Linked DNA regions of Mus musculus: all the other regions are reported to be linked to region 1. Evidence: microRNA targets listed by miRTarBase, many of them from high-throughput screens and not tested one by one. Region 1 holds a microRNA gene; each other region holds the end of a gene's coding sequence.

Evidence for each region. The annotated mature microRNA mmu-miR-24-3p reads UGGCUCAGUUCAGCAGGAACAG and lies in region 1 at 1,783-1,804, shown strand. An mRNA with a match to its seed (bases 2 to 7 or 8) in the 3' UTR can be bound and repressed. Matches are read on the target gene's strand: a 7mer-m8 pairs with bases 2 to 8, a 7mer-A1 pairs with bases 2 to 7 and ends in A, and an 8mer does both.
Region 2: miRTarBase lists Txnl1 as a target of mmu-miR-24-3p. Seed matches in the 3' UTR shown: 7mer-m8 at 2,559-2,565.
Region 3: the mRNA of Klhdc9 is a reported target of mmu-miR-24-3p. Seed matches in the 3' UTR shown: 7mer-A1 at 1,130-1,136, 7mer-A1 at 1,202-1,208 and 8mer at 1,210-1,217.
Region 4: miRTarBase lists Smad4 as a target of mmu-miR-24-3p. The part of its 3' UTR that is shown has no 7-base or 8-base seed match.
Region 5: the mRNA of Xpr1 is a reported target of mmu-miR-24-3p. The part of its 3' UTR that is shown has no 7-base or 8-base seed match.
Region 6: the mRNA of Celf4 is a reported target of mmu-miR-24-3p. The part of its 3' UTR that is shown has no 7-base or 8-base seed match.
Region 7: miRTarBase lists Zfp704 as a target of mmu-miR-24-3p. Seed matches in the 3' UTR shown: 7mer-m8 at 1,629-1,635.

What each region holds. Positions count from the first base shown.
Region 1 is chr13:63,299,469-63,303,688 of GRCm38, forward strand. Mir24-1 (microRNA 24-1) reads left to right here and starts at 1,740; the gene lies at 1,740-1,807. Aopep (aminopeptidase O) reads left to right here. Exons shown (of 16, transcript NM_001289926.1): 16 at 1-3,409. Mir23b (microRNA 23b) reads left to right here and starts at 1,016; the gene lies at 1,016-1,089. Mir27b (microRNA 27b) reads left to right here and starts at 1,244; the gene lies at 1,244-1,316. It also overlaps Mir3074-1 and a transcript of Fancc not described here.
Region 2 is chr18:63,660,620-63,664,839 of GRCm38, forward strand. Txnl1 (thioredoxin-like 1) reads right to left here. Exons shown (of 8, transcript NM_016792.4): 8 at 2,182-3,713. The coding sequence ends at 3,684. Among named protein-coding and RNA genes, the nearest start is that of Txnl1, 30 kb to the right of the region's middle.
Region 3 is chr1:171,355,512-171,359,731 of GRCm38, reverse strand. Klhdc9 (kelch domain containing 9) reads left to right here. Exons shown (of 4, transcript NM_001033039.2): 3 at 79-277; 4 at 752-1,283. The coding sequence ends at 918. It overlaps Pfdn2 (prefoldin 2), which reads right to left. Exons shown (of 4, transcript NM_011070.4): 2 at 3,114-3,202; 3 at 2,904-3,027; 4 at 478-1,882. The coding sequence ends at 1,706. Among named protein-coding and RNA genes, the nearest start is that of Klhdc9, 3.2 kb to the left of the region's middle.
Region 4 is chr18:73,636,675-73,640,894 of GRCm38, reverse strand. Smad4 (SMAD family member 4) reads left to right here. Exons shown (of 12, transcript NM_008540.3): 12 at 426-4,220. The coding sequence ends at 637. Among named protein-coding and RNA genes, the nearest start is that of Smad4, 65 kb to the left of the region's middle.
Region 5 is chr1:155,277,579-155,281,798 of GRCm38, forward strand. Xpr1 (xenotropic and polytropic retrovirus receptor 1) reads right to left here. Exons shown (of 15, transcript NM_011273.2): 15 at 1-3,492. The coding sequence ends at 3,432. Among named protein-coding and RNA genes, the nearest start is that of BC034090, 35 kb to the left of the region's middle.
Region 6 is chr18:25,483,304-25,487,523 of GRCm38, forward strand. Celf4 (CUGBP, Elav-like family member 4) reads right to left here. Exons shown (of 13, transcript NM_001146293.2): 12 at 3,491-3,662. The coding sequence ends at 3,535. Among named protein-coding and RNA genes, the nearest start is that of Gm32825, 20 kb to the right of the region's middle.
Region 7 is chr3:9,434,996-9,439,215 of GRCm38, forward strand. Zfp704 (zinc finger protein 704) reads right to left here. Exons shown (of 9, transcript NM_133218.2): 9 at 1-3,903. The coding sequence ends at 3,792. It overlaps C030034L19Rik (RIKEN cDNA C030034L19 gene), which reads left to right. Exons shown (of 4, transcript NR_160691.1): 4 at 1-2,238. Among named protein-coding and RNA genes, the nearest start is that of C030034L19Rik, 34 kb to the left of the region's middle.

The DNA of each region.
Region 1 (4,220 bases):
ACATCATCCCAGGACATTATCGCTTGCCATGGTGGTACATATGATGTTTACTTTTGTATATGTTTGAAATTTTACATCAATCACTGTGTTACTCTGTTGTTCTCTATGATTACCAATTAATGAATATTTAGAATTGTGTTGCTAATCTTAACCCATTGTCAGACATTAAATTTACATTTTCACATTTCACTTTTATAAAACCCACTTCTGTGTAATGTTTATTTTTCTGAAGAACTACACTGATGAAGGGAAAACATGTTACTATGTATGACCATGTTGTTGCAGAAGAGCTGGGGACCGCCACAGTCAAGCAGGGGAGATAGTGGGCTGGAGTAAGCAGGTACAGCCTGCTAAGCCTGCACACTACAAGCTAGGACGGTGGCCTGTGTGGATAGACAGAGTCGGTCGGGGCGCCTCTTCACTGCCTCCTGCAGACATTTCTCTAGAAACTTGTAAGCTGAGGGATTGTTGGTATGTGGTGTGTGAAGGTCACACAGTAAAGCCACTGTTCCCTTTTTAGGTCCCTAGGCCTTCACTTAGGAAAGCCATAGTCACATAGTGGTCCTAGTGACTCTTCTAAGAGTATTTTTGCCCCCTGAGTGAGCAAATCCTCAACTTGCTAGGTCCCCTATGAGCTCTGTGCTATGCCTCAGCTTATCCAACCAAATGCTTGGTCACAGGCAAGCCAGAGAGATGCTCCCTCCCTACACACCACACCTGCTGTCTGAGGGGCCCAGAGACATCCCAACCCATTCAGTCTGCAATTGGAGAACAGGGTGTGTCCCAGGGTTAAAGGCCACATACTCAGAGCAAGGATGGTCCCTAAGGTATTGGTCTCATAGCTGATAAGTGTGTCCTTTGTCTCCCAGTCCCCTATGCTCCTCTATACAGTGCAGCCAGCGCGCTGAAGGACAGCAGGCTGCACTGCTAGCGTGGTGGGCTCAGAGGCGGTTTGGAGGACACTCAGCACATGTGGATGGGAGTGGTTGGGCATGGTGCTGCCCTCACCTGCTCTGGCTGCTTGGGTTCCTGGCATGCTGATTTGTGACTTGAGATTAAAATCACATTGCCAGGGATTACCACGCAACCATGACCTTGGCTGCTCCTGCAGAACCGTGGCTACTTTCTCTCTGCAGTTTGGAGAACAGAGGCGCCTTGTGGCTCTTTGGAAACAAAAGAAGCCAACAGCCTTCGAAGATGCTCACCAGCCCTTTAATTATGGCCGGCGATGACCTCTCTAACAAGGTGCAGAGCTTAGCTGATTGGTGAACAGTGATTGGTTTCCGCTTTGTTCACAGTGGCTAAGTTCTGCACCTGAAGAGAAGGTGAGATGGGGACAGTTAACTTGCAGCTGCCAGGCAGAGGCCACTGCCTGGTGGTCACTCCAGAGGAGGAGAGACCAGCCTGCCTCAAGGCTGTGTTGTCAAGAGTGCAAACAGCGTGCTGACCACCCTTAAGTGTGTCTACAGAAAATACAGTTCTACTGCTAATTAGTTCACTGTAATGTCAAGTGTATTGGGAGTCACAGAAAACTAAACCCAGGTGCATCAAGGAAACTGAGCCAACCTTGTCTCAGCTGATGCCACACGTGATGGGTGGGGGTGTGGTTCTTTGTCCCTGCTGGGCGTGGTGAACTCTTTCTTGTATTTGCAGTCCAGGTCTCCATGTCTCCACAGTCGCTGGCAAGATGATGCCCAGGGCACGCCAGGAGGCACTGCCCAGCTGTGATTGGACCCGCCCTCCGGTGCCTACTGAGCTGATATCAGTTCTCATTTCACACACTGGCTCAGTTCAGCAGGAACAGGAGTCGAGCCCTTGAGCAAAAAGCCTACCCATCTGTAAGTGCCTGAGGCAGGCCTCCCACGGAGAAGAAGATGAAGGGCCTGAGTGTCTGGTACCAGACCCAACAGCAGTGGTATCCCTCTGTATGTGCTCCCGAGGTGGGGATTTGTAGAGTGCAGAGCTAACCTTGGAAAGTTTGCATTCCCTAGAAGCAGGTAGGGCAGGCGCTGAGCATTTGCCACGTGTTGGGGCAGAGCACACCATGTCACCGCTGCCTTGAGCAGTGAGAATGCCTGTCTGAAGGGCCTTGTCTGTAGAGCCTTTCTGAACCTCTCTGGGCTTCACAGCCCTGCATGGCCTGTGCCGTGACTGTGCACCCCAGACCCAGGATTGTGAGGTGTGGCTTCAGTGTTGCCCCTGTCCTCCCATGAAAAGTTCCCTCTCAAGTGGAGGTCAGAGGCTGGGAGGACTCCTGTTGGAATGGCTGTGGTGACTGGGTAATAAATTTTATTGCTGTTTCCTCCACAGGACAGATCACAGTGAGATTCTCATATACCTTCTCCTAGCCCTGGTGGGGCCAGGACTGCACTGACCCTGGACATCAAAGGGAGGATTATGTGGCTGCTAAGGCCATCAGCCCACAGCAGTGGTTGGTCCATCTTGGGCTTCCAGAGACTGGGCTCCCGTGGCATATATAAAAGGCGGAGCCTCATAAACTGTTGCACCTGGCAGCTGCCTTTGTTCCCAGTCCTAGAGAGACTGAGTCTACACACTGGAATTGAGCTGTGACTTTAAGGCAGTCATTCAATGAAGGACACCCTCCCCTAGGCAGATGGAGAGCCGGTTGCCTGCTTCCTGTGATTGCAAAAACTAGCTGCCATGCTCTGAGACTGCAGAATCATGTGACACCTCCTGTGGCTGGTCCCCAAGGATTCTGCAAAGCCCTTTTGATGTGTTCAGTCAACAGAGCATTCCTGTTTTTGAAAATGCAGGAAAGCCTAAAATGTCTTAATAAAGTACCAGATTTGCTAGTGTTCCAGTTTGCTTCTGAATTTGATGCTCCTTAAAAGCAAAGAAGAACGTGTGTCAGAACAGGCACTTTCCACACACTTCCTACCTCCAGGTAATGTTAATTCTAAAAAGGTTGGAAGTAAAGGGAAATTAGTGTGGCTTGGGACTCTGCTCTCTTCCAAATGTGGAGTTTCAGCCAGCCTGGTACTAGCGGAGTCTCAGAACAAGCTCTAAGCTCTTTCAGTCACTGTCTAGAGAACGGTGCTTGAGACTGAGCCATCAGTGCAGTCACATGAGCCCAGCCAAGGCAGAGCGGTGGACAGAGGAACCAGAAGGAGCATCCCACTGGCTGGCCAGGCTTCTGCACCCAGACCTGCTGGGTGACAAAGGCTCTAGGACAGACTGAGAGGAGCGTCCGCACAGAACCATTGGTTTTCAGAGCCTGGGCTGTAGCAGTGACTGCATTTGGATGGTTGCAGGGGACTTGCAAATGGTTATCTGCTTTGTATACCACAATGGTACAAGTATCAAAGTGTGTTAATTCTACTTAATGTTACCCTGATTTCTGTGAAGACTTGAAATAAATGGCTGAGTCTATGCCTTCCTGCTCTCAGAAGCACTCTGGCCTTGCTTAGAGGTGGACTAAGAACCACACACCCTGTAAGGCCCCTCTGAGAACCTCAGTGGCCCATACCTCCTCTGAACTGGAGAGAGCAGCCAAGCACTGGTTTAGTCTGGTTTTGTTCTTTGTTCTTAGGAACCACTAAAGCAAAACAAAGCTGTCGCCTAAGGTGGGTTTTGTTCAGGGATCAAGTCCCTTGTCCCCATGGGTCACTGAGCCCTGTGCCTGGCTGTGTCTGGCTTGGGTTCTTGCCAATGGGTTTCAGGTAAGTGGAGATCTCACTGGAACCAGATGCCCATTTCACAGCTTTGGTGAAGGATCTGTGGTAGAGCTGTCCTTTGCCACCTCTGGCTGGGTGCAGAGCAAGCCTATCCTCCCCTCTCCTCTAGTCCCCCACCCCAACAAGTTAGGCAGCAGCTCCTGCCACCCATAGCTGCACCAGAGGCCCATGAGGCTGTGGAAGCAGGCTTCCCTCATCTGGCTGAGACCTCTGGAGTCAAGAAAGTGCAGTCTCCATTCTTCCGTGAGCCACCTGACTTCACAGGACACAGAACATTGCAAACGTTAACTTGTCAAATAGGATGCGAAGCAGGGTCTGAGGGCGGAAGAATGGATGTCTAGGGAGGCTTGACCTCCTCCTCTGAGCTGTCTCACCCAGGGAGGAGTTTGCTCTATAGCATATGGTTCAGGTGATGAGTGAACTGTTGGCGGAGGAAGGATGTGGATCATCACCCAGGCTCCTGCTCCAAACCACAAGTGGGCAGAGCAAGAAGCTGGATCCCTGGGTCAGTGTTTGCTGTAGACC
Region 2 (4,220 bases), not on the chromosome of region 1:
AGCTAATGAAGCTTCCTGCCCTAGGCTTGTTTTTCTTCTAAATTCTAATTAAAACTATCCCTGCGTCCCTGAGCACACATTTGAGCCCATTCTAAATTCTTTTATTAATGAAACCACCAATGTACTTTAAACTTGCCATAACTTATGACTTTCTGTGTTCTGCAAAACTATAAAATTTCATGAAACACAAAAAGCTCCCACAATGAAACACAAAAGTTGAGGTAATTTAAATCTGTGTTACAGGGCAATAATTACCAATAAAATAAAATAAAATTTCCATAACAAACTACCCCTTGCTCCCTTTACAAAATACATCTTATGCCAGGTGTAGTGGCTCAGGCCTTTAATCCCAGCACTAGGGAAGCAGAGAGGCAGGAAAATCTCCTGTAAGGCCAGCCTGATCTACATAGTAAGTTCCAGGACAGCCCTTCACAGTGAGACTCTGCCTCAAATAAATAAACAAACAAATAAACATATATTAAAATGTATTTTATTAATGAGACTAAAAATTTTAGGAGGAAATCCCAATTTCCCCCGGATCAATATTTCTCAAACATGATAATCAAATGAGGTGAGTAGACAAATAAGATTTTCATATATAAACAACACTTAAGAAACTATAGACAAAACTTGTCTTTGGAGTAATAAAAAAGAAACCAAGGGTATTGGTATTGATTCAAATAAGGTACGTATCAGCAGTCTTTTATTTTAAAATGTAATTAAAGTAACATAACCCCTCTCTTTCCTGCTGCGATTGCAAAGGCCCACACCATGCCCAGCTGGCTCTCTTTGCCTCATAGTTCTGGATCAGATTGCAAGCAAGCATTCAGCTACCACCCCAGGACCATGCCTGCTTGCCTCTGCCACGCTCCCCAACATAACAGTCATAGACTCACCCTCTGAAACAGTAAGTACCAATGAACTCTTCTATAACACACCTTGGCCAGGGATTGTCACAGCAATAGAAAATATATACACATATGCATGTATATAACCTGTCAAGTCCATTTAGTATTGCTTGTATGTATTTAGGGCTGACCACTAGGGACTGGATAACCTATCAAGAGACTTTTTCCCTGGGTAATACTGGGAAATTTATTTTAGAGATTTGGCCTTGTAAGATATCCTCAATCCATTTTGGCATGTCAGCTGATGGTGTCACTGTGCTAGTCTTGTTCAGGTGACTATATTGTTAAAATCTGACAGGGGTGCGACTCTCTGTCACATACAGGACTGTATCTCGTTGCTGACATCATGGTCCCAAGACTCTCAATTTATTACTAACGACAACCATAAGCAATGCTGGTATTAAATGTACACTAATAGCACAAACTATGAACACTGCAAAAAACGTCTTACACATATCTAATCGTTTAGAAAAATATGGTTGGCAGAAGGCTAGGTGACTACCTCCATCCAATACATTCATGTACTGAGATGGGGCAGTTTGGTACTTGGCAGCAGATAGCCAAAATACATTTATAAAGGACCAAGAGGAACACCTGAGTGAAGTAACAAGTGCTAGTCTTATTGTTAGGCTTTCTCTGAAAAGACTTCCTATAGCAATACTGTGTTTCTGCTGACAGCATTTCACTGTATGTCTCAATTAGGCAACCTGATGTGAGATACGAGATGCATACAGATTCTTGGTTTTTTTTATGGCTGACAAAATAAATATTAGTTTTCTAGTAAGCATTAATGGATGGCTAATGATTAGACAGCCAAGGCTACATATTCTTCATGTTCTTTTCAGGAAAATTGTTACATGTAAATATACTTATTTATATTTATAAATATATATTGATATACTATTTTAACAGAAAATAGCATTTTAGCTTGATGGTTTACATCTCAACTATGCATATTTGGGTTTTTTGTAATAAAACTTGTGACACATGTCAGCTTCCCACTAGCATTCACCACTTATAACTTGAATGATGTGGGATGTTTGTATGTTGCAACAAAGTTACAGAAATCATATGAACAACAAAAAGTTTGATGTCTGGTCCTTTGCAAATGTGAAACCACTTTTACTCCGTTTTTCAAGTCAAATAGGATGAGACCATTTACAGCCAAGACGAGGCACTTTAATGATTACCAAAGAGGCTAAGTATAAACTACAACTTTTCATGTTCATCTTCTTCTCCATTTCAGGTGTGATTAACAACTTCAGGATGGTTTACAGGTATTATAAACGTTTACTTTTTTTGTCTTTCTTTCACTTTAAGTCAACAAACTGTGAAATACATAAAATACAGACATTATCACAGACCAGTTACTGAGCTCACATACACATGAACTAAACATTACTTAATGACACAAGTTTCAGAAAAGGACTATTTCAACACTACTTCAACAACATCCAGAGTTTGGTTTTTTTTTTCTCATAATTACGTATAAGTACATTAGTATCCAAAGGCAAACCTCTGCACTATATAGGTAAGAATGCCCTCAAATGTATTAAATGAATTACAAGTTATTAGTCTTATATATGCTTTTAAAATAATGAATTACAAGATTAATGTGTGGGGATGGAGCAGCAGTCTTATAGAGGCCTGGGCTCAGTTCCCATCACCCACATGGCAGTTCCCACCAGCTGTCACCCCTCTGCTGGGCACCACACTCACTCACACGAATATACACATACATGGAAGCCAAACACACATAAACATAAAACAAAATAAAGTATTTAAACATTAAATTTGCCAATATTAAATGTTTTAAAAGCTTAGAACAACAAGTATTTGCTTATCCAGTCTTTTGTGGAAGATCTTTCAAACAAACAGCTGGGACAACTCATTTTAAGCTTAAATCATGTTCTCTATCTATATAGAGTGAATGTTTTGGTGAATTTAGATAATAGATTTGATTCTAATTTTCCATATTTTTTAATTTTTAAATTAAATAATCTCCATGTATTATAATTTCCAAATTTTTCTGAATTCAGTTTTAATACCTGCATTATTAAAGGAAATAGTTGACTCTAATGTTTAGGTTTATGCAGAAAGTTAAAATCTTGGCATGAGACCAGGTTTAGTGGTACAGGCCTACAATCCCACCATTTGGAAGGCAGGTACCCAAGGATATCAACAGTGAAGCTAACCTAAAACCAAAATATTTGTAAATCTGTTAACTACCAGTGATAGGTAAGAGTACTGGGTGTTTATAAATTGGGTTTTTTAACAAATTTGTAAAGCCTAGATACCCAAATGCTTTTTGATAAAATAAGTCAGAATGTACTTGAACTTGGTTAACCATTCCAAATCCATGCATCCAAACATTACACATACATGGAGGTTTCAAATCCTGTCTAAACTCTCCATGTGTATAGACAGTACTCCTAATCCCTGTGGCGTTCTGTTCCTCTAGAGATAGAGTAACTTTTAGTCAATGTGATACTAGACACAACTCCTAAAACAAGAGGTTAGCAAATTTTCAAATAAAAAGAGAGAGAATGCATTTATATAGAATGACGAAGACTTAAGCTTGGCAAAAGTAGTGACTTTTATTTACAACTGCATGTATCACGATTACACTACAAACACTAGTGATGCCATCTGAACAAAAGCAATGATTTATTGGTACTGGCAACAAATAAAAGATTAACAGTTTCCGAAGAGAATCAAGCAATTATCCAGGAGCTGCAAGTCTGACTGCAGTAAGTCTTCCAGTGTCTTTGTACCCTAATGGCTTTCCCCTTTTTTGCCAACCACCTAGAAAAAATTATAAAAAAAGTATAATTTAATGATTCAGAAATGTGCTTAAAAAAATACTAGCATAACAATTTCAAGACTTTAGTCCTTTTTACCTGGTATTACTTTTTAACCTTGAATCTTTTCTGCATGCAATGTGCTTTTATTGTGGCAGCAAACTGCAACACCCCCTCCCCTAGACACAAGGAATTAAACACATGCAAGCTACTTTTGTTTTCCCATTCTGTCTTAAGAAGAAATTTAACTTTTTCAAGCCAGGTCGACAGTTTAGAGACGTTAATAAAAAAAAAAAGATGATGCTACATGAGTAAACCATTCCTAGTGTACTAGTTTTAGGCAATTAGAAATCTAATGTCAATCTAATGTTTTTAAATGTCAATGTATTTAGAACGATATGCTAAACTCATGTCTTCTAGACCTCGCCTTCAACAGGAAAGCAGATCAAGAATGTTGAGCTCTTTTCTAACTTTAAAAAAACAAAAACCTGGTTGCTAGACATGGTCTATA
Region 3 (4,220 bases), not on the chromosome of region 1:
CTCACATAAAGTAGAAAAGGACTAAAACTTCAATAAGCAAACCCTTCAGACAACCCCTTCTTGTTTTTCTCGCCCAAGGAGGAACAACCAGTTGCCCCTCATTTGAGGGAACAGCTTGCAAGGCTTGTGAGCAGTGGGCAGGGACTGCAGCAAGGACCCCAGAGCCTGCGCCATCATTCCTGTTCAGTGGTGGGACCCTTCGCTGTACTATTTGGCGGAGAAACTCTGACCAGAGCTAGAGATACGATCTGCAATGATCTCTACATCTACGATACCCGTGAGCGCCAAGCTATCATTTGAAAGGGAGGAGAAAAAGACACAGCTAAAAATTACAAAACAGGGGTGGTGGGATAGAAAGGAGGAGAAATCAGTTGATGAGTTAAAGGAATGCAGTCCGGTTGTGGTGATGTATGCTACTCAGGAGGCAAAAGTGTGTGGACTGCTGAAAAACAAACAAACAAAAAATAGAGCCAGGCATAGTGATTCACACTTTTAATTCCAGCACTTGGGAGGCAGAGGCAGAGGCAGGCAGATCTCTGGTAGTTTTTGAGGCCAGCCAACTTGATCTAGAGTGTGAAACTAGCCAGGGTGACAGAGTGAGACCCTGTTTCAAAAACAAAATACAATAGACAATATAAATACTGAACATCTGAAAAGGCTGACAAATCAAACGGGAACGATGACAGGCATGCGTACTGGGTAAGGCCGGAGCAGAATGCCACAGTAACCACCTTCTGCTCTCAACCCACAGGCAAGTCTCCGCCTCTGTGGTTCCACTTCCCCAGTACAGACCGTGGACTGAAGCGCGTGGGCCATCGGACTTGCCTTTGGAATGACCAGCTTTATTTGGTTGGGGGTTTTGGTGAGGACGGCAGGACAGCTAGCCCACAGGTTTGCATCCTGGAATTCTTCATCTAAAGAACAGCAGGGAGGCACTCTGTGTTGTGGCAAACCTACAAAGCGATCTCATCAGAGCTATTGCCCTACTTCAAATACTTATTAAATTTCAATCCGAGAGTTTTGTCTCTGAATCCTTTAGAAGATTTATACATTTTACTTATATAAGTGCCCTATTTGCATGTACACCTTTGTGCCAGAAGAGGGCATCAGACCCCATTATAGATGGTTGTGAGCCACCATGTGGTTGTTGGGGATAATAAAACAGATGCCCCCTGGAAGAGCAGACAGAGCTCTTCACTGTTGAGCCATCTGAGCCATCTCTCCAGCCCTCTGAATCCGTTTTAGAAGAGCATCAAATAAACAGATTACTTTATTTGCAAAGGAAAGACCGAACTGAGGTTCCTTTCTGATAGTGAGCCATTAACCTGGTAGAAACAATGCAAATCATATTTTTTTGTTTTGTTTGAGACAGGGTCTCACTGTGTCTATATATAGCCTTGGATTACTGGGAACTCGATTTGTAGACCAGGCTGGCCTGGAACTCCGAGATCTGCCTCTTGTTGTCACCCAAGCACTAAGATTATTAAAGGCATGTGTGGCACCACACCCAGCTCTATGAGGTCGGTGTAGCCCTAAATGAGATAAAGGTTCAGGCTATAGCTAAGTATTTGACCAAAACATTTAATCAACAACAACAACAAAAACAAAATATTACAATAGCAGAGAAATAATAATAACGACAATAAAAAGAAATTACAAGTGGGAATCAGGGTAAAAAAAAAAAAACCCGCAGAGGCCTTAGCTCCTAAGAGACCAACACCCCTGCTGAGCTGGCCTTAGCCCCAGCCCCTTCTGAGTTTTCCTTGGCTGCTGGCTTCTCATCTTCCCCCATGAGACGAATGTTGTGCTTTTCCCGGAATTCGTTCAGTTCTTTGCCCTTTGCCTGAAGCTGCTGTGACAGTGTCTCAATGATCTTCTGTATCTAAGAGGCAAAAGAGAGGATGGAGAAGGAGTGCAGGTCTCCCTCCTCTGCCCCGGACTGTGCTACAGTTGGAGGCAGTGAGACAAGAACACAGTGGCTTATAAAGGGGAACCATCTGAGCTACTTATTTTCATTATTCTTTGATAATGTTATAAAAGCATATGATCAAACAGCCCACTCTCATCCACTTGCCACCAACCCATCCCATCTCATAATCGTATTTCTCTGTTTTGTTTTGTGGCCCATGAGTCTAACCTGGAGCACCCTTGTGGGAATGGATGGAGATACCCACAGGAGCACTAGTGGCTCACCAGCAGCTACATCACTTAAGACAATTACTGTCCCCTCTCCAGCAACTTTCCACCCTCAGTCCCTGCCCAGGGAGGGTGGGTTGCTTGCTCTTAAAAGAGCATTTGTCATGCTATGGTTTCTTCTCTTAGGTCACATTCATTTTTTTTTTAAGTGATTGATTTTTAGTTAGCCCAAGCAGGCTTCAAATCCGATTCCTCTGCCTCATCATCTCAGCAAGTTAAACATCAATGTATGCCACCCCAGTCAGGATTCTTTCTCCCTTTAAAAGGTCACTTATGGTTTCTTTAAGGGTCTGGTTCCGTGGATCGAGAGCTCTTAAGAAGCTGCATTTTAAACTGGTCCTTGGCTGGAGGTGTAGCTCAATGAGAAGAGTATTTAGCCTACTGCGCATGAGGCCCTGGGTCTGATGCCCAACACTGCTAAACAAGTTCTTCAGGAGATTCTGACTCAGGGATCCACAGACTATATTGTGAGAAACACTGCTCTACCCATTCCCTCCCCACTCAACCACATCAAAGAGCCCATGGAAAGGGCACACAGCCAACAACTCCTCACTTAAGGAGTTGGACTTCAACTTTGTAATAGTATAAAGGGCACAGTAGATAGCTAACAGGCTGCATGCTACCATCAACATGAATTCCCTAAATCCCTAGTCACCTACATTTAACCTCTTGGCTGCCCAAACGCCTATAGAGGAATTCTTGCTCACCTGCTCCTTGTTGCCCTCCAAGGCAGGCAGCACTTCTTTGACAGTCCGCTCCACCAGCACACCTCCAACCATGCGGTAGCACTTGCGGGTCTCATCCACTTCCTTCAGTGTATCGATCACCAGGCTAGGGTAGGAGAACAAGACCTCAGAATGCGTCCTGATCCCCACAAGCCTCCATCCAATCACTCTGTTTCTCTGCGGCCTTCCTACCTGTGCTCATTCAATTCCATCTCCAGCTCAGCTGCTTTGGAAGCCAAGCCCCTCTGTTCCTGCCGAAGGCGATTAAAGCCAGCAATTACCTAAGAGATGAGAGATGAGACCGTGAAAACACCAGAAAGTAAAGGCAGCCATAGGATGGCAAGTTACAAAGGCACAGTAGTGGATAGCTATCTTGGGAAGGGCATAGACTACATTCTTACTGAGTGCCTATATGTCTGAGATATTTACTAGTCACAGGGGGATTTAACAATAGATTTGAATGTGAGAGATGGGGGGGGGGTGAGGAGCCACTGGAACACCTACAAGAGATTTGCAGGTGAAGAGGGCTTTTTTATGTTTCCCTCCCCAACTTACTAATTTTTACTATATGTTCATGAGTGCTGTTATACCTGGAAGTTTGTATACATGTGTACCATGTTGGGCCTGGTGCCCAGGGGCCAGAAGAGGGCGACAGAGTCCCTGAAACTGGAGTTACAAATGGTGGTGAGCACTGTGTGTGTGTGTGTGTGTGTGTGTGTGTGTGTGTGTGTGTGTGTGTGTGTGTGTGTGCGCGCGCACCGGAAACTGAACCTGGGTCTCATCAAAATGTTTTAACCACTTTTCTTTTAAGTTCTTTTAACTACTGAGCTAGCTTGCCAGTTTGTCACTAATCAGAGACCAAGAGGGTGATGGGGTTATAGGCCTGATATGGGTACTGGAAATCAAACCTGGGTTTTCTTGAAGAGCAGTGTGTACTTTTTTAAAAAAAGATTTAATTATTTTATGTATATGAGTGTACTGTAGCTGTCTTCAGACAGACCAAAAGAAGGCATCAGATCCCATTACAGATGGCTATGAACCACCATGTGGTTGCTGGGAATTGAACTCAGGACTTCTGGAAAAGTAGTCAGTGCTCTTACCTGCAGAGTCATCTCTCTAGATGCACAGTGTGAAATCTTAATCATTGAGTCATCATCTTTACAGTCCTTTTTTTTTTAAAGACTTAAAGACTTTTTTAAAAAAGATTTATTTATTTATTATATGTGAGTACACTTTAACTGTTTTCAGACACACCAGAAGAGGGCATCAGATCTCATTATGGATGGTTGTGAGCCACCA
Region 4 (4,220 bases), not on the chromosome of region 1:
TAGAGACAGACAAAAGTCAGCTGACCTGTGTGAGGGAGGCTGAGTGCATGGCTCTGCTGATTAGTCAGTCCTGCTGCAGTCCAGCCTGGCCGGTAGAGGCTGGGCTTCTTACAACCGGGGACAGGCCCTGCCTCTTACAGAGAAGTTGGTTTTGCTCCTATACCCTACTTCTGAAGAGAAGAGTAGGGGAATTATTGGTGGCATGTGGAAATTTACTTGCCCTCCCGTAGTTAAAGTCCATATATAAACTGTCATAACCAAATTTTCACTTACCCGTGATAAGGTTTAGATCTGCGGTTACTGTTGACATTTTTGACAGAGAAGTTGTATGCTGAGAGGAAATAAGCAAAGAAGGCAGACTGGGGAGGATGGGAAGAGAGGACCTGCGCCCTCACAGCCTCCACACTTGTGCTTCTTTCCGTTAGGTCTGTCTGCTGCTGCTGGCATCGGTGTGGATGACCTCCGGCGATTGTGCATTCTCAGGATGAGCTTTGTGAAGGGCTGGGGCCCAGACTACCCCAGGCAGAGCATCAAGGAAACCCCGTGCTGGATTGAGATTCACCTTCACCGAGCTCTGCAGCTCTTGGATGAAGTCCTGCACACCATGCCCATTGCGGACCCACAGCCTTTAGACTGAGATCTCACACCACGGACGCCCTAACCATTTCCAGGATGGTGGACTATGAAATATACTCGTGTTTATAATCTGAAGATCTATTGCATTTTGTTCTGCTCTGTCTTTTCCTAAAGGGTTGAGAGATGTGTTTGCTGCCTTGCTCTTAGCAGACAGAAACTGAATTAAAACTTCTTTTCTATTTTAGAACTTTCAGGTGTGGCTCAGTGCTTGAAGATCAGAAAGATGCAGTTCTTGCTGAGTCTTCCCTGCTGGTTCTGTATGGAGGAGTCGGCCAGTGCTGGGCGCTCAGCCCTTTAGTGTGTGCGAGCGCCTTGCATGCCGAGGAGAGTCAGAGCTGCTGATTGTAAGGCTGAGAAGTTCTCACAGTTAAGCCACCTGCCCCTTAGTGGGCGAGTTATTAAACGCACTGTGCTCACGTGGCGCTGGGCCAGCCAGCTCTACCAAGAGCAACTTTACTCTCCTTTAAAAACCTTTTAGCAACCTTTGATTCACAATGGTTTTTGCAAGTTAAACAGTGAAGGTGAATTAAATTCATACTGTCTTGCAGACTTCAGGGTTTCTTCCCCAAGACAAAACACTAATCTGTGTGCATATTGACAATTCCTTACAATTATCAGTCAAAGAAATGCCATTTAAAATTACAATTTTTTTAATCCCTAATGGATGACCACTATCAAGATGTATACTTTGCCCTGTTAAACAGTAAATGAATTCTTCTATATTTCTAGGCACAAGGTTAGTTATTTAAAAAAAAAAAAAAAAGCCTAGGGGAGGGATTTTTCCCTTAATTCCTAGGGAGAAGGTTTTGTATAAAACACTAAAAGCAGTGTCACTCTGCCTGCTGCTTCACTGTTCTGCAAGGTGGCAGTACTTCAACTGAAATAATGAATATTTTGGAAACTGCTAAATTCTATGTTAAATACTGTGCAGAATAATGGAAACAGTGCAGTTGGTAACAGGTGGTTTGGATATTTTTGTACTTGATTTGATGTGTGACTTCTTTTCATATACTGTTAAAATCATGTATGTTTTGACATTGTTTAAAATTCAGTTTTTGTATCTTAGGGCAAGACTGCAGACTTTTTTATACCTTTTGGTTATAAGCCCTGTGTTTGCCATCCTTGATCACTTGGCGGTGACTTTGTAGAGATTGAAGTGGAGGAGTTAAGACACATTGACTGTACCACAGACACACATGTATACTTTCTACCTAGTTACTAGCGTAAATAAAACTGAGTCACTATACGAAGTGGAATTCTAGATTTGGTTTTTAAAATGCTTTCCTTTTGCACTTTTGAGTCCAGTCTCAGTGGCAAGACACCTTCTGCTAAATGACAGGTGGCAGCCAGTTGTACCATGCAGCGCTGGTTCCCTCCCACTCTACCAGGACTTTCCCATGGACACTGTGCATCATGTGTAGTTGGTTATTTTTTGAGTTTTTATTTTACTGTAGCAAAAAAAAAAAAAAAAACTTGGATAAATAGTGTGAATAAAATCAAGACCATGGAGATGTTTTTACCCTGAGAGTTTTCTGTGAGTTTTAAATTGCAGTAGGCATTTGAGCTCTGGAAACCCCGTGCATAGCAGTTCTCTTTGTGCCAACAGAAATGACCACGTCCTGCAGCCTGCTGCGGAAGGTTCCAGAGGCTCTGAGAAACCAGAGTGCTGCAGTGACTGGGGTCCATCTCAGCCCAGCGCACACAGCGTGCGTTGTAAAAGCTGCCTCTGTGTCTTGTCTTCTGTACTTAGGGATGCTTTGTCTCGGGCCTAATCTTATCTGTAGAAGTTTGGTGATTTTTTTTTTTTAAATGTTGTATTGACAGAATTATAAAAAGATACCTTCTCTAGAAATGCTTGTCTTCAGATCCGTTTCACGATGGCCGGGGAACAGGAGTGAGAAGAGAGAGTAAGCTGTAGTGTAACGGGTTTTTAAGACCCAGCTCATCTGACCAGGCAGTGCTGTAACTTGATGCTTCCTGTTGTACCTTATGGAACCTTTCCCATATTTAATCATCTTCAGAAAGTAGGTGGGAAATATTTGCTGGGAAGTATCTCTTCAGAGCCAAGCCACTTGTCTTGGTTTTCTTACTAAGAGCCATAGAAATGATTTCTGGTTATTGATGAAATTTGTAATTTGCCTGTCCTAGTCTTTTTTCCTTTCACTTCGCTATCTTTGAATAAGACTTTTAAAAACTTCCCTGAGTTGAAAAATTTTGGGATAAAATAGTTTCCCTAGTTCTTAGAGACTGATTATGATGTGGGTATGGTTCTGGGTGGGTTTTTTTTCTAAGTCATAGCTCAAAAGTCTCCCAAGATTAAATTTCAGTGGGCACCCAGTTTGAAACCATTCTACTTTTGTCTTGTGCCTTTCTTTGCATGATTAAAGAGAATCTGTAATGGTATTGCCTTTATTTGCTTGGAAGTAGATTCTTTTCTGGGATAGAGTCTACCTTAATCGTTGTCCTTTACCGCCCCTGCTGTACAGATAGATGCTAAGCCACTGCCGGGAACTTGCTTTTCCATAGACAGTCTTTTTATACTGCCTGAACCCATTGCTCCTGTTCACAGTATAAGTTCACAGACAGGGTGAGCCGGCCGAGGCGCACACCTGCAGAATCCAGCAACAACCATGCTTAACTGTGTGTATTTCAAAGTTAGAAATCCAGTTTTGTGGGGAATGGTGTGGTTTATATTAGCAGCTTTGAAGGCGAAGTAACTCAGAGGTTTTACAGTCTGGAGAAGGGAAGCTTCCTGGAATGCTTGTGAAGTATCTGTGGTGGCCAAATGTGTTTGCTCCTGGCCTTGCTTGTAACTGGCTAATTGTCACTCTTCAGATTTTTAAAAATTTTTAATGAGCTGAGACCCCCTTGGAAGGAGCTTGTTTGGAGCTGGCCAGAGATGTTTTTGGTAGTTCCTGTCTTCATCCGGTCTTCATCACTGTTTTCTTTAATGGTCAGTTAGTAAAGTATAAGTTAGGTCACTGTCATGAGTGGAGCAGGAACAACTCTCCCAGGTGGGGGCCTGGAAGGGACTCGTTACATGGAGCCATCTGTAACTAGCCCTTTAAATCCTCCTTTGCATGACATAGAGAAAAGGCTGTGAGACTCCTGCCCAGGCCTTTCTAGTTTTCCCTTCTAGTAACCAAGCAATCGCATCTCTGCGGTGCAGTAGGCTGTATGTAAAAAGCCGTGGCCTTACTCCTAGCAGCACCCTTGGCAGGGCCTTTTTCTCAGCGCAGTGAGGCTGTGCATCTGGCACTCCTGAGGAATGAAAGTTTTCATCATCTTGCCTTATTAAGCAGTAAAACTTTTGAAAAATGAGCCGTTTATTGGCAGGAGCTATTTACACAAATCAGAATATTATACCATTTCTTTTTCTCTCTCTCCTGTCTCTGTGGACCTCCGGGGCTTCTGAGATAGACAGTACTGCCTAGCCATTCGAAATGCCCAAGCCAGCTGGGGTTGTTGGGCTCTCCTCTCCCTTCCTCCTTCCTCACAGCTCCTGCTCTTGCGTGGTTAGTGAGCCTCTACTCAGTGTTTCCTGTCCTCGCTGCTCAGGCGAGGGAAGACGACAACTGATAGTC
Region 5 (4,220 bases), not on the chromosome of region 1:
AAGAACTATCCGTAAATAAAGCAAGTGACAGGAAGTCACAGCCCGAGTCACAGGATTTACCAGTGCCCTGCTCCTGCTGCCACAGCCCCACCCAGTCCTCTCCATCAACTACACTCTGACTCCCTGTCAGTGTGCCTCCCTCAGCTCTGCTCTTGCCTTGCCTTAGGTTCACCTGCTCAGACAACAGGGAAGCATGGTGGAAAGACACCGCCCATGAGAGCTCATCTAGCACATGGGGAGTCATGGCTCCCAGGAGGGAGGGCCTCCTCTAAGAGGTCACCTGGGTTCTTGCTGAGCCACTGGCACTCACTGTGTCCCCTGAATCTAAACAGTCTGTTTAAGGAGTGTAATACAGGGGGCTGGAGACAGAAAGCCTGCACGTGGCCATTACACCCAACTATGGGGCTGACTTCATCGCTGATCCCGCCACTGCCTCGGTGTGGGAGGGCATGTCAACACCCCACTGTCGAGGCAGCTGCGGTATAGGCTAATTTGCCAACAACAAACGGCTATCTCTTCCAACTACACTGCTTTCTGCATGAGTATAAAGTGAAAAGTGGACTTTAGTCTCTTTTTCATTTCTTTTGGGGGTATTTCAAGCGCTATTAAAAATGGGGTCCTTTTCAAATAAAACTAAAATTAAGAGTTCTAAGGCTGCAATCAGATAAGTGTTACCTCTGGTTTATGTGACATGACATTGGTGTGTTCCATCGAGAGTTTCAGGGTACAGGATTATCCAAGAGCACATTAGCAGGACACTGCTCACAGTGCCTGGGGCAGATGAAACTGAGGAAAGAAAAATGCACATTGCCTTTTTCAAAGGAAAATAATTAATGCATATGTCGTTTCCTAAAGTCTTTTGATGGAGAAATCTCTTTAGAGCTGGGAAGGGATGCAGCCAGAGCATCTGAATACACGTTGGAGCGTCTGCCATGTAAGCCGCACAGCTTGTAAACTTACGTCTGAGTGGTCAACAGGACAGATATCAGAAAAGGAATATACTCCATCACTTACTGTTTATGAAAGAAATAATACTGATTAGGGCCTGGGATCCTGGCAGGGGGAGAAAGACCAAACTGGCTCTGTGTTACCTGACATAAAGACATCAGAGAGCTGGAACATCAGGAGTCAACTGTGAGGAGTGTGTGCCGCCACTCAGCTCACTACCAGAGAAAGAAGCTGACAATTCACAGGGCTCTGGATACACAGTACCACTGATTTTATTTGTACAAGAAATGACTGGTCACTGAACTTTTCTATATATTCCTAATCGTTACTGCTGTTACCTCAGAAACCAGTGAAATCTATCCCCAGCTTTAAAGTACAAAATAGTAAGGGAAAAAAATCTAAATAAAAATAATGCAACCTTTAATCTGCCAGGGTCTCTAAATTGTTACCACTGATTATTATAAAGTATACAATTTATTTATAGTTTTGTTTTTACTTTAAATAAACATTTGCTCTTTAGTTTTGGGGCAAGGGACATGCTTGGCAAAACACAAAAAGCAACAGAACCTACAACATTGAGTGAGCTTTTTTGGGGTGGGGGATGGGGGCAAGGTGTTGTTAAAAATCTCAATCGAGAAAGGAGGAAAAAAATGGAACTTTGTCAGAATAAAAATGGAAGAAACTTTGTAAACGGAAGCTGGTGAGTTAATCAGTAGGATTTTAGCAGTGCTGTAACTTTAGTGAGTAAGGGTTTGATATGCAGGAGGAGCTAATGACAAGCACGAGCTAAGGGGCAGTAGCCAAGTTTTAAAACAATGTAAGTGTTACTGCTGTTTCCCTAGTCACCGGTTTCTTAGTCTAAAGTTCATCTGACAAGGGCACACGTTCATGGCCCTCCTACGTGGGACTTTTATCTAGATCTGAAGGGTGGGGCCATTTATTTACCTTTTCCTGGTATTTATATTAATTTTACTGAATAATGGCTGTTTCTCTACCCTGACCCATGCTGGAGAGAAAATCAAGGGTCTCAAGAATGCTGGGCAGTCACTACTACCAACGATCTAGATTCCCAGTGACAAGCTGATGAGTACCAGATATGAAACCAACCATTTTCAAGACAGTCAAGCGCTGTATGTTTTTAGGCTTCTCTAGAGAATTTATGAAGAAAGGGGGTGAGATAGAGAATAAAGTAGGTATTTATATCCTGAATTTTCTAAGAAATATAATTTAAAAAGTACAACCAGGTTTAGAAGCCCCGAATTTAAAAGCAGGCCATGGTAGGGGTGTCGTAAAATTCAACATCACCTTTTAATACAGCTGGGTTTAAAAATAGCCACCAAGATCTTTTGTGTCGATGAATATAAAGGATTTGTTCTAGATGCTCAGAAATACAGTCCCCACAAAAGACTTTTAATTTGATCAAATTCTGGCTGAAGAAGGTGAGACCAGAAGGGGAAATGTCTAATAAAGTGTGAGGGGCCTGAAACAGGCCTGTCTTTCCACTGGTAAAGATTACAATTCTACATGCAGAAGCACGTGGCAAACCGTCATTTTTGTGACTGGTATTTGGGTGACTGTATCCTGCACCTGTTCCTAGAGAAACAACAGTCAGAGCCTTTTCTCTGGATTTCCACCACTGGGATGCAAGGGGGATGCCTGCCTGGTCATGACAGTGATGCTTGGGACTCTAGAGCAGCAACTTAAAATTTAGCAATAAAACTTTGGTTTAAAGTTAAAACAAATGAGGGGAAAAAAATCAACTAGTTGTTTCCTGAAAGAGGTGTGTGGGGTTGACCCTCCGCAGTGCCAGTGAGCCTTAGTTCCTCCTGCCTCCCTTCACAGGAGTAGCATTCATTTATGGTTAAGTTTCATAAATAATGAGAAACTGTATGTAACGAATACAGCATATTCCCCACCCACCCGAAGCCCTCCCCAGATGAGAAAAGTCACATCGAATTAAAAGTAGCTTTGTGGAGGAGGTGCTGCTCCAAGCTGCACTTTCCCTGCAAGTGCTGCCAGTGTCTCTGCACTGGCTATGAAGGAAGGGAAAAACTCTCCATAGAAACTGACAGAAAATTTAAAAACCGGTGTCCGGTTTCAGACAGTCAAAACCGGCCGGCGAAGCTGAGCTCTCTGGGCTGTGCATCAGACGTTCCTTCCAAAGCTTCTCTTCATCCTGATGGGCTTCTGTATCCTTGTGATTGTAAACAATCCGTAAGATAGTAGGTGTTTGTTCCTTAAAACATCTTCTGATTGGCAAAATGAAGTATTTGTTTTAAAAATAGAAAATGAAGATTAAACCAGAAGAAAAGAAAAGAAACACAGTGAGCTTGCTCGGAGTCCATAGGACCCGATCTGAAGAGCCCGGGAACGTGTTCTGTTTTCTCCTGTTCTCAGCTGGAAAAAGGTGCTGGAGGTTGCGTTGGTCGAGGAAAGGATTGTAGAGTAGAAAACCAAGGATGTTACTCTAGACTTCAGCGAATTCAAGTGTTAGCTTCGTCATCTGTGTCTTCTATCAATACCTTAGTGTCGCGAGCCTTGGATCTAGCGTGATCAGAGGAAATGAACATGTATGATCAGTCCCATGCAGTGCTGCTGGGTCCACTCTTCCCACTAGCAAGCACGCACACTACCCAGGAGCTATGTACTGCAAGTGGAGAGGTAGGAACAGCAGTAGGCTGAATTAAAGACGGAGCAGTACCCGGAAACAAGGATCTGAGTTTGAGCACTGGTACAGTGATAGCCAGGAGCCTCGGTCAAACTGTTAGCGCTGCTGATTTAGGAGGCTGTGCAGAGATTCTTGTACCGAATAAAAATGGGACTGGGTAACCCGACACTCGTTAGCCTCAACAGTGAAGGCAGTGTTTCTGACAGGAGATCTGTTACTCCCACTTGACAGATGGGGAGGCTGACATTCAGGAGGCTAAGGCTGTGCTAAGGCTGTATGAATCTATGACGTCAGAGCTGAGACTCAGGTCTCACCTTAGATTCCCTGCACTCTTTGTACCTTAAGCCTGTTCTTCTAACTGCCTTCCTCTGGCTGCCATCTAGTTTCCCAGCGTTTCCCTGTAAACCCCTGAAATGAACAGACTAGCACCAAGAGCCTCCCTCTTGATCAGAAACCATGTTTAGACTGCCCTCTGCTGGTAGCTATGAGACCTTCACGGTGAGGAGCTCTGGTCTGTCAGCCTTTTCTCCAGGCCTTGAGGCTAGCCACCTCCTCAGCACCCTCTTACCCACAGCGCTCCTGCACCCCAGGTTGCCGTGCCTCC
Region 6 (4,220 bases), not on the chromosome of region 1:
CCTCTGCCTGTCAGCTTACAATGGGTTCCTTGCTATTCCAGCATCAGATCTTACTTTCCTATACCACTGTATCCTGATTGTCATCCTCCTCGGCACTTACAGCCCCTCAGAGAAGCTCCTTCAATGTCCCCTCACCGCTAGAGTGCTTGGCTATAGCGTCCTTTTGGCATGAGGAGAGGCCTAAGAACTAAGGAGTATATTGCCATTGGAAATCAGCTCTGGCAACTACAGTGAGAAGACACACTGGCTCTAGAGCCAAAACTTGCTATCCCCACTCTGCTCTTCCTGTCTCCCCTGCTTCTGGCCAGCTGTTCCTTGGTGCCAGACATTATCCTTGGCATGTGGACTCAGACAAGAATGCATACAGCCTCTCTTTTCAAAACTCCATCAGGGAACTCTCATGCAGCCCTCATTTCTGCTATACTACACCAGATACAAAGTACTGTCTCCTGTGTATCCACCCCCTAGGAGGGGTAGCTCACAGAGCACAGAGCCCTGGAGGTGATAATAGGGTCCTGACCCGAACCAGGCAAGACCATTTCATATATACCATCTAAAATAGCTAGACTCTAGCCATAGATGACTCAGACCCCAAGCTATAGTCTAGCTTTGCCCAGGCTGGGCACACACAAGGCCCAAACAGCCAGTGAGACAGGACACCATCAATGGAGAAGAGCCTTGTTGTCCCCAACCTCAACCCTACCCTACTGGGGCCTCAGTCTGTGGAACCAACCCCAGCCATGTTACCTAGCTACTCTGCCTGAATCTTTCTTCCCCAGATATGTCTCAAAGTGGCTCCGACTTGGCCTTGGACCATCAAGCCCGCTTGCACATCCCACCTTACTACTAGTATAAGTCGTCACCTCACTACCCAGCTGCTCCCAGCTTCACCTGGTCTCTCAAGCCTCTACTCAGGCTTCCCTCTCCTGATAAGGAATAGCTACAGCTTACATATGTCATCACTTATCAACACCCCCTATTGACTTATGATATACCACATTCTTTTGAATTCCATCCTTGTGTGTGTGTGTGTGTGTGTGTGTGTGTGTGTGTTGGCAGATCCTCAGCTGCCTTGAGTAGCTCCATCTTCTCTTAGAACCCTCCTACCACAGCTTCCACACTCTTGGGTTGCAGAGGCAGTATCATTAAATGCTATCTGAATGGAAACTAAACGGAAACTTGATCATAGGAGTTATGTCCTATCACAGCTTAAGACAGCCCACCCTAGGGAAGAGGTTCAGAGAAAGCTGGCTCCAAAGAAGCTGGGTACTGTGGGTGAGCAGAGCCGTGATGAAGGAGGGCAGTAGTCTCCCATTTGCCTTACTTGAAAGGAAACTAGGTTCCTGGCTTCAAATTTTGGTTTCATTGCTCACTGTGCTCATCTGTGAGGTAGCAATTCTGACACTTCCCCCCTGATAGGCTACTTGTTACCAACATTACTTGTCAGAACAATGCCTGGTATACGAAAGTCTGTGATGGTCATCTTCGTGGCCTCCCAAGGCTGAGTGGCAACTGGATCTACCCTGTAGCCCTCTTATTTCATGCCTCACACAGCACACTTGCCTTCCTCTACCCTTCCTCTAGGAATTTCTGACTTAGAGGTATTACCCTTGCTTGAGCCATAGGGTAGGATAGGAGCTGCTAGCCAAAATACCTACATGCTCCTTCAGATCATCTGATCGCCTACTAAATCATGGTTTCCTTAGTGAGGAAGTAGAAGCCTAGCATGCAGCTTGGAGCTTCCTGACTGAGGCGCTCCTCTCTGGGAGCACATCCATCTGGTGGCTGCATCTTGGTGCCTATGTGTCTATTCCTCTGAGATGTAACCCACTCATCTCTGTATCCCCAGACCTGAGTCTAATGCCTAGCACAAAATGGTACTCAGAGTCTGTGAACCGCCATGCCCCAATCTACACATAAGGCAGAAATAGGCAGGGCTGGGGAGTAAGGAGGCCAGAGTCAGCTTTGCTCTTTCAGGATTACTGACTGGGCTAATGTTCACCCAGAGGGAAAAGACCCCTGCTTCAGCTGGTACAGGAGGGTCTTCTGGCATCTATACCTCTGTAGGGAAGTGTGCCATTATAGGAGAGACCAGAACCTGGAGACTCCTCCCATGCTCCTGGCCATGAACTTCCACTTGCAGGCCTTAACTCTAACATGCCCAGTCTTGCTTACAGACTCTCTGCTCTCCTGTCACTATGGCTGAATCCCGGGTGTAACCTCTCTCCCTTCCATACCTTCTAATGTGTCAGGAAGCATCTTTGGCTCTACCTTCAAAATGTGTCTAAACGTTCACACTGTCTGATCTGCCCCGGACTAAGGTCAATACAACAGATCTATCTCTGTGGCAGCCCTTACAGCTTAGCATCAACCTAATAACAGACTACCCCAGCTCTCTAATACCCCTTCCCATTTCAGAGGAGGACAAAGCCCATGCAGTGGTCTGCAGGCTCCAGGCAGTAGCTGTCCTCTCCCCTGGGTTGCTCCCTCGGCTCAGCCCTCCCTGTAACACCCTTAGCCCTCTGCTTGCTCCTCACACATGTTGCCCCTGACCTTACCCCAGAGGGAGGCCACTCATCTCTAATATCAACTCAGGCTGGCCTCGAAATCTTCAGTTCAGCTACCATCCCTGTACCTACCTACTTACCAGGAAATCTAGCTCCAACTCTGTGTATCCAACACAGTGCCGGAGGCACTAAATAAAAGGAGGGCTGGGCGGAACAGCCTGAGCAAGAAGAGGCCCAATGTGGCCTTCATCTCTGGCCGTGACTAAGCTGACTGGTGTGAGTAACATCAGGGGACAGGCAGAGGTGGACTTGATGGCCTGGAGCATTCCCTCAGTTCCTTTTGGAGTCATCTGCTCTGCCTGGGAGAACACTTAACCCCAAAAGTGGGACTAACTGCCTCAAGTTGTCAAGCAAGGCTAAATAGAGGTCAAGCCTAGGCAGACCAGGTCTGGTTCCCAAACTTCCAACACTGTGTGTCCTCCCGCTGTGTTTCCTCTTGCTAATGTTCCTTTGAAAAATACCTGCCCCTCCTGTCCTGGCTAAGCTAAGGCAGCTACTGGGGAAGGAGTCAAGGAGGAAGCTCGCTTCCAATAGACCTGGGCATGCAAGAGCCAGGGAGACTGGGAGGAGGCTTAACCTGAGGCTCTTCCTCCCCGCAAGGCCTGAACTTGCCATCTGCCCACCTAGGGTCCCTGGCTAACTGGGCTACAATGAGAGTCTGAAGGCGCAGGCCCCAGGCGCTGCTCTCTTTCTCAGAGGTTCCTCACTTCTACCCCTTTTGGCCTGGAGGCGGAGGGGACGGCCAATCCTGGTTCTGCTAGGATGGCCTTAGTTCTATGCCTGTGATGCGGACCTTGAGCCAGGAGTAGGTTGATCAGGGCGCATCGGGTCCAAGGCACAGGTGAGGGCCGGGCCCAGGAAGGCCTCAGAAGGCGACGGGTCCATCCAAACCTCCCGTCCCTAAGCCCAGCCGCCATGGTTACCTGTGCGAGTCCTGGTCTCCCCCGGGGGACGCTCCCGCCGGCGCTCAGTACGGGCGATTGGCGTCTTTGGGCCGCTTCAGCTGCACCTTGAGCCTCTTCATGCCTATCTGGAAGCCGTTCATGGCCTGGATGGCGGTCTGTGCGCTGGCCGGGTTGTCGAAGCTCACGAAGCCTGGCGAGACACGAGGGACCAGGGCCTGGGTTTCCACGGGGCCGCCCGGGGCCGCTGCAGGCGGGAGGGGAGGGGAGGGGCGGGGCTCGAGGCTCCGCCCCCGGCCCGGCCCGGCCTCAGCCCCGCCCCTCCGCCCGCAGGCCCCTCCCGGCCTGGCGCCCCGGCCCGGGCTCGGCTGCTCCTCGGCTCCCGGTGGCGCCGGCGCCCGCCCACCCCCCACCCCGGCCGGCCCGCCACCTCGGCCCTCTCCTCCCGCGGGAGAGGGCGGACACACCTGCGGGCGGAGGAGCTTATTGCACACTGTCCTCCCTGACAGGAGGGGGCCTGGCAGCGGGAGGGCACGGGGTGCCGGCCTGGGGAGAGAGAGGAGTGCGAGGGCCGGGAGGGAGGAACGTCGGGGAAGCCACTCCACCGCCCGGTCACCCCCACCAAACCCGCCTCACCCCTGGGGCTGTGCGCAGCCCTCGCCACTGTGGGAAACTTCCTAACTAAGCACACACCTCGCGATGAGTGCTGTACGACTTCCTAGGGATGTCGAGCACCTTCCACTACCGTTCT
Region 7 (4,220 bases), not on the chromosome of region 1:
AATCAGCTTTAGGGCAGCTACGAACAGACAGTCCCTCTGCCACACCTCATGGAAGTCGTCTGCCTGTCCAGCTGAACACGGATTTGTTTTGAAATGACACGGAGAGTTACATAAAGAAAAACTTGTTCTGACAAGAAAAGACTTGAGGAGATAAAAATCCTCCTGGTCTCGGGGTTCTCCAGATCTCTTCCCACAGCATCCTTGTCTCCCTGAGGAAATGAGTAGTATTTACAGTATTCTGCTGCTATGCTCAACAGATTCTTGTATGTACAGTTCTCACCTCTTTTCTCAGAACCTTCTCCGGTGAATGCCACCTTTGTCTTGCAGGGCAGCTGAAGTGAGAGATGAAACAGACTCTTTTATAGGGGCTCACTACTCACTTTAAGCCCAGGGCTTCTGGCAAAGTGTGACGTACTTGTTCTTGGATACCAGAGATGGCAGACTCCAAATCTTGTCATCTTCAATTGCAATGGGGAACAATTTGGCTTCAAATAATTTTTCCAACATACATGAAGTCTGAAGGAATTTTTGGAGAGCTCAACAGTAATGCTTTTCTCTAGAGATGATCGTCCTTTATAGCTTGGTCATGGGAGGTTCATAAGGGAGCCTCCTGGACATGGTACTATCAACGTGCACGAGAGGTCCACTCTGGTTTGGAAACCCACTGTCTTCTTCCTGGCGCTAGCTTTTGCTAATCCAGAGAACCTAACTTCCCAGACATAAGGTGGCAGGTGAGCCTGATGGATAGTTCCTGGCCGAAGCAGCTCCTGTCTTGTGTCAGACATCTACAGCAGACATGGAGGAGTCCTAGCTGAGCAGCCCAAGAACATGAGCAGAAGATAGGGGTGTGCAGGTCTCCCGCACTGCCCCCTTGACACATATGCTACCTGGGGGTTTCTCCACGTTATCTCACAGATTTTCACAAAATAAGTGTCCATATTCCAGGAAGGCTAAGGCTGGAAACTATTGCCTGTTGCACACATTGCTTCCTAGCTGGCTGGAGAATGTCCTGCTAGTCACTGTGACATGCTTTTTCCGGGAGAAATGAGAAACCTTTTTCATCATGGAAGAAGAAGAACTAGACATTTCCATGGACAAGAATTCATTACATCACTGCTCCTTTGACAGACAGGGCTGGAAGCCCTGGGGTGCACAGAGCCTCAGGCTAGCAGCCAGCTCACCAACTCTCATGCTTTCTGTTTCTCCACAAAATGAAGACACAAAAAGAACTTAGTTTCATGGACATGGCATGAAATGAAAAGTCAGGCTTCATTTGGCACTTTGTTTGGGTCCCCAAATAACAAAATAACTACTTAAGAAATGTAACTCACACAAAAAGTAACTCATATAATCAGTTAACTGTATGTTGCAATTCAGAGCTTCCGGTCCCTGGCATTACACCCTTCCACACAGGGAATGGGCATGTGTCCAGAGCTGCACTCAGGATTTGCCTGCACCTTGGAAGCCAGATAAGGAAATGTTCAGTGCCTAAGGCTGGCCTGGAGATGAGGGCCCTAGGTGGGCTGGGGATGCACACGAGCTGGCACGATGGAGGTTTCTGAGAAAACGAGGGACTCAGGTCAGGTGCATTTGGTGTCACGATTGTGCTGACAATATGCAGCTAAGCGGGCTCAGACCTGCCCTTAGGCTGTGTTTCTGGGGGCGACAGCTCAGCACCTAAGGACTGCTCTCTCTCACACAGACGACAGCATTCCTTCACCTCCAAGTTCTTCAAGAGAAGGTGGATTGAATTTCACATCACTTTAATGTTTTGATTAAAGTCTTCATCTGAGATTTTAAAAATTAAGGGAGCTTTGCTGAGGAGAAAACCCTCTAGCCTAGGATCCATCTGTTATTTAAGCACATGGTGAACTTGACCAAACAGTTGATGTCTCAATCTCCACGTTGCTCAGGGCCTCTTGGAGCAGCTAGAACACCATTTCAGGGAGTGAGGCTACAGGAGATAAGGAGAGGACATGCCCAGGGGAAAGAAATCTAGCTCTGGACTTTAAAAGCAAAAAGTTGTTTCCTGGTTGCAGGTAAAAGCATCTGGAACAGGTGGTATAGCTGATGTTGGTTATCAACCTACAGGGAAATCAGAGAAAGCTTTCTCTTTTCTCTTGAAGTAAGTGTTTTGTTTTCCTTTTAAGTATCCAAAGGAAAAGATCAGCATCTCTTTCCCGTTTTCCTTGATTTCCGTGGTAAAAAAGCCACATGAATTTAAAAAATAAAATTGCCAAAATACATGAACGCACCAGTTAAGGGTGTTCCGCTGTAGAGCCTCCATATACACCCCTTATATACAAAGAGGTGTCTCAGACGCCTACATGCCTTCTCTACTCTGTAAAAAAGCACTATGTACAATCTTTAAACATATATTAAGTTTTCCTCTGTGCAAGTTCATTTAACATTCATATTGCTGACACCATGTTCCCCATCCCTACCTAGTGGCTCCTATAAGGTGCTCTTACCATGCATAGGTACAGGACACTCCTCTCTTAAGCAGGGCAGACAGAATAAGTCCTTACAAGGCTTGATAGCTGCTCCAAGCTCCACCCTTCCAACAGCCAAGTACATCAGGTTCCAATGGCTGGAACCCAGCCTAAGCCTTGGCCCTACTCAATGGAGAGAGTCCTATACCAAGATGCATCTGCCTTTGGGCATCCTGTAAGTTAGTTTCTGAGCAAATTCTTAATTCATAGTTTCAATATTCCTATAAGACAACAAAGTTTAGCGTTCCATTATCCATATACGTCACCGAGTCCACTAACTCATCCCCTAGCCATCCCCTCGCCATCTAGAAAAGTGCACTCACAATGGAAGTTGGCTTGATGCCCTAGTGGATCTTTCCCACAGCTATGCTCTGCTGGAAGCAAACCTGCAGGCCAGTCTGGAGTTTTCTACCTGGGCGGGGTTGGAGAGCAGAATGCTAACCCAGAGTCCTGGCTATGGTCTTGGCAGAACCAAGCAGGACACACTATCCAGGCTGCAGTGTGTGTGATATCCCTGAAAGCAGCATCAAGGTTTACCAGATTGCTACTAGCGCCAGCTCTCGTCTGAGCCATGGCAGGCAGAGACTTAGTGGTGCCACCACTCACATGGGATCCAAGGACGATTTTCAGATGCTTTCTGCAGTGCCTCTTGGTGTCCTGACCTCAGGTGATGGCTGAGGTGACTCGCACTCACTGTCAATCACTTTTGGCCTTATGTAAGTTACTCAGGGCCTCCAAGCTAACATCTTTACAATGGTTCCACTTGGGGTCCTTCTTGAAAACAAAACAGACATAGAAAAACTCTTTTTTGAAATACATCATGATCAGACTGATCCAAGGAGTCGCACGGAAAAACAGAGAGATGCCTATTCACAAGGTAGGTACTATCCTTTATACAAATGCTACCTCAGACTGTGTAGCTTATGGGTATATTGTGTAGCTTATGGGCATATTGTTTTCAGTGTCAAAAACCCTCGAAAATGCCAGAGTTCAGAAAGCTTATCAAAATGTGCCTTCTCTCTAGGTGAAATGGGCCTGGTTGGCTAAGCTGCTACAGAAGACCAGCTTTAAGACCAGACTGAGAGCTAAGGAAGCGGGCTTTTCCTTCGAAGGAAGGTCCTCCTTGGCGCTCTCGCCTGGTTCTCAGAGCAGTGCAGTGCTGATTTTTTGCTGTGTTTTTGTTTTTGTTTTTGTTTTTGTTTTGCTTTAATTCCACCAAGGAATTATATTCCTGGGATTCCAGGCAGGGCCTTCCCTGGGCCTTGAGTAGCTTCCTTTGGAAGGAGAGGCAGGAATGGCTCAGTCAATGAACCGCTGGCAGGCCTTCTTCCAGCGGCAGGCGGTGCACCACATGTCCCTGTTTTCCATCCCATAAACCTTGCGGCACTTTTTGCCTTCTCCTCTGGGCTTCCTGTAAGAAAGACGGCACACAGACAGCCTTAGGGACAGGAACGGGGCGGCCTTCTGGGGAGAGTTGCAAAGAATAAGGGGGAACAGAAGACAAAAAGCCCAGCATGGAGTAGGACTTCCCGTAGGGCTGGGGACTTCTCTGGCCACTGTGATTACACTGTTTCTAAATCCCATTCATGGAAATGTTTCCTTGGCCATGGTGTAAGCGTAAGGGGTAGACACAAGAGGTGGGGACTGTGGAGGGGGACCTGGGGCAGCCCTGCTCACCAAGCACGAGGAGGACATTTGGAACCTATATGGAGCTTGATGTGATAGCGC